2 linked regions of the Rattus norvegicus genome follow. The protein of the gene in region 1 purifies or fractionates together with the protein of each later gene. This does not show direct contact. Links are inferred from orthologs where the notes say so. Each region holds a gene or a part of one and is shown on either strand. Other genes may lie near its edges.

Region 1 (4,252 bases):
TATTGTTAATCTGATAAATCCAAATTAAAGAAGTTTAAAACGCTATTTTTAATCAATCCTGTTACCAGCAAAAATTCAATAGCTATACTTCAACTAAGGAATTTCAAGTTTCAGATGTCCCCGCTTATTTAACGTAAATCCTCATCATTTCAAATGATTCTAGTTTAAAGGGCCTTGCTGCCATCAGCAAACCCAGTCTGAACAAGAGGGGTTTTTTCCCTGTAATTTCGGCAGAGGTTTTTCTCATTTTATGCCTCCACCTATATCACTGAGGTTTCTAGTAAAAACTTCTATTGGTAGCTCTTATGAGAGCAATAGTTAACATGTTCTGAGTTCTTCTTATGGGACTTTCAATTGTCACAGCTAACTTTAGTGTGGCACAGAGGAAAAGTAACACAGGTAAAATCAAATTCAGGCATTCCTGATACAAGGCATGCAATTCTGTAAAATGAATGAATTGAAAACAGTCATGCTTTTTGTGTTGTCCACTTAACAAATTATTGGTTTTCGCCTCCAATTGTTTAGATCACTTCTAATTTTCTACGGATTTAAATATCAGGCGACATACAGGAAAAACTCTCATTATATTCACCTGTACACTCATACTGCTAAGCCCACACATTTTGCAATCCAGTTCTGCCTGACTGTAATTTGCTGCCTCGGAGGGAGGAGTGTGTTCCCGTACCCCATCCCCAGAGGTTTCCAGGCGAATGCCTTAAAAAAGTGACTTTGGGATCTTAAGAGTAATAGCCCCCATCTATTCTCCACTCAGGAAAATAACTGGAGTAATAATCGAGACCATTGAGACCGAGACAAGCCTTTGAGTGACTTCAGGATTAAAAACAGAAAAAAGGGGTTGGGGATTTAGCTCAGTGGTAGAACGCTTGCCTAGGAAGCACAAGGCCCTGGGTTCGGTCCCCAGCTCCGAAAAAAAAAAAACAAAAACAAAAACAGAAAAAAGAAAAAGTCTGAAAGCAGGGGAGAAGGTGCAGAGGAAGCTTTTCTAAACATCAGACTCAGACAGGAGGGGAGAGGCCGCTCTCGGGCCCTGGACTCGGGTGCTCCGGGGCGGTGGGGCGCTCTTTGGCTCCGCACCCTCTGCGGGACAGACACCTCGCCTCCCCCTGCGGCAGCCTGCCTTCTCCCGGCCGCGGGCCCCCTCCCGGGTCCACGGCGACAGAGCCGCCGTGGAGGCGGGCGAGGGCGCAGGGACAGCGCGCAGCAGCGTCCAGCGACGGCCGGGGGCGGGGGCCGGCGGTTGCTCCCAGCCCCGGAGGGTCAGGAGGTGACGGGAGGAGGAGGGAGGAAGAAGGGAGGTTGGGAGGGAGCGTCCGGTCTGTGGGCGCGGACAGCTCTGCCAGACCTCTGGCTCCTCCAACCCTGCCGCCGCAGTGAGCCCCACAACGCGAGAGGGGAGTCCGCCGTAGCAGAAGGGAGAAAATTCAAAACGAGACTACTCAACCTCGTCTTGGCTCCGAGGCCCCGCCGTGGAGACCACCACAATGCGCAGGCGCAACTCTCCGGGAGGCGCAGCGCAGGCTCATCAGATTGGACCCGTCTCGGCCACCGTCGCCCAGTTCCCTTCCGATTCCTTCTCCCTTCTCGTGTTTCCGCTCTGAAGTCTGAGGTAAAAACACATGGTCTCAGCTCAATCTGGCTGTTGGAACGATTCATAGAAAACGAACTGGTGGAGCCTTTGTCACTCAGATTAAAGAAGCAGGAAGTGTAATATCTGCCCAGAGAAGGGAGTTTTAAAAGCGGATGTAAGAACCTAAGAGCGATGTGGCAAAGTAAATAAAACCTACAACTCCCAGTGTTCAGAGGGTCTGAAACGCGCTTCCTGCTGGGGTTTGTAGTATCTGAGCGCTGAGTCTAAAGGGTCTGGGTCTAACGACACCCTCAAAAATTAGGTTCAAGGTAGTTCTTTTCTTTATTTTTCTAATCGTTTATGGATCTAGATAGATAGTAAGAAATATGAAAGTATTAAGGGGACTGGATGCTTTTAAGACTGCTTTACTAATCGATGTTTCCTAAATCTCGGAATAGGTATTTGATGTGTGCGGGCTGGGCACCGGTGGAAATAGAACCTCGTGGTATGGTCTGTAGAAACCCGAGGAAGATAACTGAAGCCTGTCTTCTACTGCGCTCGAGGTGCAGTCTACCTTAGAGCTACTTGATTATCGGCGCATACATTTTTGTGGAGAAGCCTCGTTGTATACTTTCTGCCATGGCACAACTCCAGGCACGTTTCTACACGGAGAACAAGAAGTAAGTAAGGGTTCCATCTTCTGTCCCTGTCTTCCCCAAGCCGATCTCGTTTGAAGACTCCTTCGATTTGGACCTTGTAGCCCCGGGTAATCCTTGCTGTTTTGACTAGGAATATACAAGACTTTAGTAAATCAAAGCCGAAAGAACTTTAATAATAATTATTAGGCTTGAATGAAACGGATTTGATGCAAATAAGATAAGCTGACTGCTGGACAGAAAAAAATAAAAGACTTCATTCGCACTCCTATTCACGTGCCCCACGCTTCTATCTTATCACATTTGGAAGCGGTGGTCACGTCATCTTGAATCTTTTTTTACTCACTGTCGTGAGCAGTCTTTAGTCCAGAAAATGCTCACACAGACTTGCCTACAGGCCACTCTACGGAATTTCCTCTTTTCAGATAACCTTGTTTTCTATCTAGTTGATAAAACTCTATGTGTGTACTTGTGTGTCTATATATAAATAAGTTCTATAGAGACAACTTTGCTGGTGATACATATATAATATGGGGCTCAGGTATATCACAATAGAGTTGTATAACATCCACAGAATTCATTTTAGAAAAAACTTCACCACCACCACCCCATTTCTGTTATTGTTTTTAAATGACAAATTCTTTTTTTTTTAAGATTTATTAATTTTATGTATACACTGTAGCTGTCTTCAGACACACCAGAAGAGGGCATCAGACCCCATTACAGATGGTTGTGAGCCACCATGTAGTTGCTAGGAATTGAACTCAGGACCTGGAAGAGCAGTCAGTGCTCTTAACCACGGAGCCATCTTTCCAGCCCCATTGTGGTTTTTGGGTTTGTTTGTTTTGTTTTGTTTTTGTTTTTCAAAACAGAGTTTCTCTATGTAGCCCTGTCTGTCCTAGAACTATTCACTCCAATTGGCTCTGCCTGCTGAATGCTGGGATTAAAGGCATTCGCCACCACTGGCCACCACTGCCTGGCTCTAACTTGCCCGTTCTTTTTTTTTTTTCTTATAAAGGACATTTAATGGGGGGGGGGGATTGCCCGTTCTTTAGTTGACACTTCATCCCTTAAATACTCCTCACCCAAGTCAACTACTTACCTACTTACCATCTATTTGCAGAATTGCCTATTCTGGACATTTTTATAATGAAATTATACAAAATGTATGGTCTTTTGTGGATGTCATCTTTGTTTACCGTGTTTTTCTTTTTTCTTTTTAGTTTATTTGTGAGACAATATCATCATACTTTATTTTATGGCCAAATTGTATGGTTCAGTTTCTCTTATTGTCCAGTTAAACTTTCAGTATTTTAGCTGTTGTGAATAGTAGATGTGTAAGCATTAATATACAATTTTTATGTGAACGTGTGTAGCCCTGGCTGGCCGGGATCTCACTGTGTAGCCAAAGCTGGCCTCAGACCCATAGATCCTCATGCCTTTGCCTTCCAAATACTAGTATTAAAAGACCCATGCCACTATGCACAGTGAACATGTGTTTTCCTTGTTCGATGGTATGTATGTAAAAGTGTGGTTCTTTGATCAAAGAGTATAAGTCCACATTTAACTTTTTTTTTTTTGTTCTTTTTTTTTTTTTTTTTTTGTTCTTTTTTTTCGGAGCTGGGGACCGAACCCAGGGCCTTGCGCTTCCTAGGCAAGCGCTCTACCACTGAGCTAAATCCCCAACCCAACTTTTTTTTTTTTTCTGGAGCTGGGGACTGAACCCAGGGCCTTGCGCTTGCTAGGCAAGCGCTCTACCACTGAGCTAAGTCCCCAACCCCCACATTTAACTTTTAAAGAAACTGGCTCCCAGTTTTCCAAAGTAACTACTGTTTTACATCATCGCCAGCACTGATGAAGATTCTTCGTCTCTGTATCTTCACCAACACTTATGGCTGTCAAGTGATACGGATTGTGCTTGGTCCTGTTATTGCTCTTTCTCTGGAAAACTATTCAAATTCCTTGCCTGTGTTTTTTTGTTTGTTTGTTTTTTTGTTTTGTTTTTTTC
Region 2 (4,586 bases), on another chromosome or scaffold:
CAGCAGGCACATTACCAGACAAGATGGATCTTCCTAATAGGATTAAGCTCAGACTAGTCCAGAGGATATCTGGTATCCCTACTGGACCTAAGAAAACTCCCTTTCAGCCAAAGAAAACAGAGGACAGGAACGTTGGGGAAAGACAGAAATGTAAGGTCATTTTCTCTGCCTTGGAGTATGAAGTCCAGGAGAGGTTGTGAACTGAAGATGGCATTTAGGAAAACATGGAATAACCACAAAGAATGGTGAGAAGTGAAGTTCTGTGCTTTCTTGTCTTCTCTTTATTCCCAAGCACCCTTTAGGCAGAGCAGAGTTTAAACAAACAGGCAACAGAGAGGCAGAAGCCTTGGCCTCTACCTACCACCCAGGCTTTTTTCCATTTTTGCCAGCTTAAGAAACTACTGTGTGGGGGGGGGTCAGTGCTCAGCAGAGTCCGAGAAGCCTCCGGATTTGGCTTGCAGGAGGTCAAGTAGGTGGCATCTAGCCACCTTTATCCCTCCAAAGGCTCTCCCTGGATCAGGATAGCCTCTCCCTGGATCAGAATAGCCTGTCTTCAGGCCACCATTTGCTAGCTCTGCACTCTGGCCTCAGAACCCAAATGTGGACAGCAGATTCTACTTTCCACATTGACACAAACACGGAACCACCTTCTGCAAGCAAGTCAGAGATGCAGGTCCAGCAGGGTCTGCGGTGTACACAGCCCGCTGCCAGGCAACAGAATAGGGTTCGACACCGCCCTTTGAGGGCCGGGCAAAACTGCTCTGACGTCTAGGGACTATCAGGGACGAGTTTAGGATTCACATCTCCTACTCTCACTCTTCTTCCATGCATTCGTTAGGCCCTCCACGTACTCTGAATGGTTGCTAAAATCAGAAAGGCAGAGGGGCTATGGGAACTATTTCTCTGTGAGCAAAGACCCTGAACTGGAAGCCCGGTCCTTATCGTCCCGGTGAAATGTAGGATTTTGGGTCTCGGCCTACTCTCCGCGAGTGGCTCTGGGGGCGGGGCGCACTTCCTCCCCAGACAGCGGCGTTCTCCCTCCAGGATGCCGGGAGGGCTGAACCCAGACAAGCCTGGTTATTCTCAGGCCGCTTCTCCTAAACAGGTTCACTCCGGCAACAGAACCCTCCCATGAGGCCGCTCCGGCCCATGCCAGCTCCTACCGGGCTCCAGCAGATGAGCGCGTCTGTGTCCGGGTCGCTCACGAGGGTCCACAGCTTGGTTAGGAAGGCCGGGACGTTGCTGGGCCCCGCTGCACCGGGGCCCACAGCCAGATCCATCTCCGAAGAAGCAGGCAGAGGCTGGGGTGGCGTTCTAGAAGAGTGGCTGAAGGCTGAGCTAGTGTCGTCGCTGCCCCTGATGTCCGGGCCGCTCCGCCGCCCGCTGCGCACACACAGCAAGGCCTCGCATGGCCGCAGCCATCTTGCGACCGGCGCGCTCTCGCTAGGGCCAGACCTGTACCTCCTGTGCGCAGGCGCTGTGATCTTTTCTGCCGACTTCACAGGCCCTGCCCTTGGGCGGCCCGCTGCACTGTACGCCTGCGCAAGATGGCTTCACTCGGGCTGCTCACCAATTAGAGCGTGGTTGGGCGGGGCCTGACTGAGGGCACACGAGGCTCTCCCGCTGCCGGAAGCGGCAGTAAATCGGTAGCCGGCGCGGTGCAGCATGGCGGGGGCGTGTGGTAAGCACCACATGTCACCGGGATCGCTGCCAGGGAAACGGCGTTTGGAACCTGATCAGGAGCCACAGATACAAGAGGTAACTTCGAGGTAGCGGGTTGCATCCCTCTGTGAACCATGTAGGCACGTGGCAAGGCCAGGGAGGCCGGGCCGTGGCGCAGTATGTAGTGTCTTGTAGGTCGGCTAGAGCCCAGAAGAAGCTCGTTCTGTCTGGGCTGTTATTTGGGAACTCTCAACAGAACACTACCTGCGCCGAGGAGCGCTGGAACCCAGGGGTAGTTCTGTGGCCTGAACCGTGTTAAGGGAGAGACCTTTAAGAGTCTCCTCACCACCGTGCTTCCTGTCCTGGAAAAGGTTGTAATTGCGCTGGTGCGGTGAGCCAGTACGTCAGGTGTGTTGTGAAACAAGAGGACATGAGATTATAGAAGCCTGAATGGAACCCAGGGCATCCAGGGCTGGTTGTCATGGAATCATTGCTACTCCATGTTGCTGAGCTCAGTAGGCTTGCTAGTGGGGCTTCATCAAATCAAGGTGGTAGAAAGCGTGCACAGCTATGTCTTACAGTTGACTCCACTTCATTGGATCCTCTAAGTTGCCAACTTTCCTAATGCTACTGGCCCTTTTAATAGGGTTCCTCATGTTGTGGTGATCCCCAACCACAAAATTGCTTTTGCTGCTACTTCCTAACCGTAATTTTGCTTCTGTTATGAATCGTAATGTTATTATCTGATATGCAGGATAGTGTGTGAAAGGGTCATTCTTCCCAGAGGGGTTGTGACCCACAGGTTGAGAGCCACGACGTAAGCTGTCCCTTTGTTTTGTGAAATTTTCCTACACGTAAGATTTTAGTAGTCTAGGTAGTAAGCTTTTTGTAGTTGATTGCTTGTGCTCTAACCGTTGTACTGCTTGTATTCGTTAGTATGATAAGTAGTTTTAGAAACGTCAATAATAAGAGAATGTCAGTATGACTTCTTTGGAAACCCAGGTGAACACTGGGATAGTTGGCAGTGAAGGCCACTCAAGTGCAAGAATTAACCGCTAGTGGCAGTGGCACCAATCTTTAGTCCCAGCACTCGGAAGACGGGCAGATGATCTCTGTTAGTTTGAGTCCAGCTTGGTCCACAGAGTGAGTTCTAGGGGCAGTCACGTGCTTCCTTAAGTGTTCAAGTTCTTGTTCAACGTTTGGAGGTCAGTGATAGAAACCTGTCCATCGTGCATGAATGTCAGAGTGTGTTAGTTGTAAAATGGCCTCTAGGGCTGTACTCAGAGGATTCTCCCTGTTCTAAAAGAGACAGCAGATGGTATGTTTGTCTTAGTCACCGTCCCAGTGCCGTGATGAAACACTATGACCAAGGCAGCTTATGAAAGGAAGCATGCGATTGGAAGCCTGCTTACGGTTTTAGAGGGTTGGTCCTCTACCGTTGCAGCAGGGAGCACTGTGCTGGAGCAGCACTTCAGAGCTTTTCTTACGTCTCAATGAGCGAGCAGAGAGGAAGGGGGATGCTGGGTCTGATGTGGATTTCCGAGACCTCAGCGCCCATTCCCAGTGACCTACAAAGCTGCACCTCCTAATTTTTCTTCAACAGCCCACCTGGGAATCAGTCTGAGGGCCCTTCTCTTCCAAAGCACCACATAGTTTAGCTTGCTACTCTTGGGCTTTTCCAACTTGTCCGTCAGTGGTTGGTCCCAGTCTTCAAGGTAAAGAAGCTTCTACTGTAGCTGGTCTAAGCCTTCAGGGAGTTCCAGTCGTCCCAGGCCCAGGGCCTCATTCCTAGCTAGTGCCTTTCCAGTTCCTGGACCCTTGGGTGCCCGAGTAGGGTGTAGAGTTTGTCAGTAGAGGAAAATTGGTTTTGGTGACAGTAAGTGGAAACTGAACTCCACAAAGCCATATGTTCTTGAAAGGTCCCTCTGTTGCAAGAAACTGGGAATCGGTGTGTCTGCTTTGAGGGCAGGTTCTGTCAACAGAGGCAGGAGATGAGGGCCCAGGCTGGGTGGATGGTTTTGGTGTAGATGGAAGCATGTGAGGCACAGCTATGTCCCATTTCCAGGTGGCAGTTATTAAACACTGTGATTCCTTGCAGCCTCTTCTCCTCAGCGACCCTGACTCCAGTCTCTCTGACAGCGAGGAGAGTGTGTTTTCAGGCCTTGAAGATTCTGGCAGTGACACGAGTGACGAGGACACTGAAGAAGTGGCCAGAGCTGGTTGTGACAAAGACAATAGAACAGAGAAGACCTCTGAGGAGCAGGAACAGGTGGGTGAGGGGCTTCCATGGGCTCTCCTGTGCGTGAGGGGGGTCAGAAAGAGGAAGCACCTGCCCTGGGCCCATACTGTCCTCTTATGGTGTTCTCAGGAACCCAGTCCTCTAACCCTTGTCACACATTTGAGCTCCAGGCTATTAGTCTGTAACCTCAGTTGTCTGTACCTTTCCTGAGGATTAGGAGTGTCCACATGCTCATGTCTTTGCCCAATACTGAGAGTATTTTCTAGAGGCAGAGCCCAAGATGGGGATGCCACTGCTAGGGGAGCTAGCAGTGCATGGTTGCAAGGGAGGATGTTCAGCAGAAAAAGCAGAGGACACTAGAGGCCGGCTTAGCTGCCCATGGGCCTTGGACGCTGAGGCAACTGTCTGCTGAACTGATAGGGAAGGCTGTACTCTTTGTTTAATAAAAATGCAAGAAACGCTTAAGTTGACTAAAATACAGCAGTTAAAAAACTTTCTGCAAACTAGTTTGTAATTACACTTCAGTGGCCTGGTGTTCTGGAAATCATGACTTTGGTTAATCATGTCTGCTGTCAGGTTGGAAACCAAGAGGCCAGGCCTAGTTTGTCTTGGTTATGGTAGGTTAAAGAAATGTTCACCATGGTGTTTGTAAGATTCGGGGCTTACCATTCTCTTTTTTAAGCTT

What was found.
Region 2: the proteins of Wdr12 (region 1) and Bop1 purify together in Homo sapiens (affinity purification with western blotting; 6 studies listed by BioGRID and IntAct, with this or other methods). This does not show direct contact. The link is inferred for Rattus norvegicus from reciprocal best matches to the Homo sapiens genes WDR12 and BOP1.

The regions. Positions count from the first base shown.
Region 1 is NC_086027.1:68,993,871-68,998,122, reverse strand, and holds the start of Wdr12 (ribosome biogenesis protein WDR12), read left to right. Parts: upstream 1-1,311; 5' UTR 1,312-1,462; coding exon of another isoform or gene 1,463-1,674; 5' UTR 1,675-1,917; intron 1,918-2,046; 5' UTR 2,047-2,227; coding exon 2,228-2,268; intron 2,269-4,252. Other genes in the region: Carf (calcium-responsive transcription factor), read right to left, coding at 1,463-1,674.
Region 2 is NC_086025.1:110,073,602-110,078,187, reverse strand, and holds the start of Bop1 (ribosome biogenesis protein BOP1), read left to right. Parts: upstream 1-1,658; 5' UTR 1,659-1,665; coding exon 1,666-1,758; intron 1,759-3,760; coding exon 3,761-3,931; intron 3,932-4,586. Other genes in the region: Hsf1 (heat shock factor protein 1), read right to left, coding at 1,164-1,280. UniProt on the Homo sapiens protein: Component of the PeBoW complex, which is required for maturation of 28S and 5.8S ribosomal RNAs and formation of the 60S ribosome.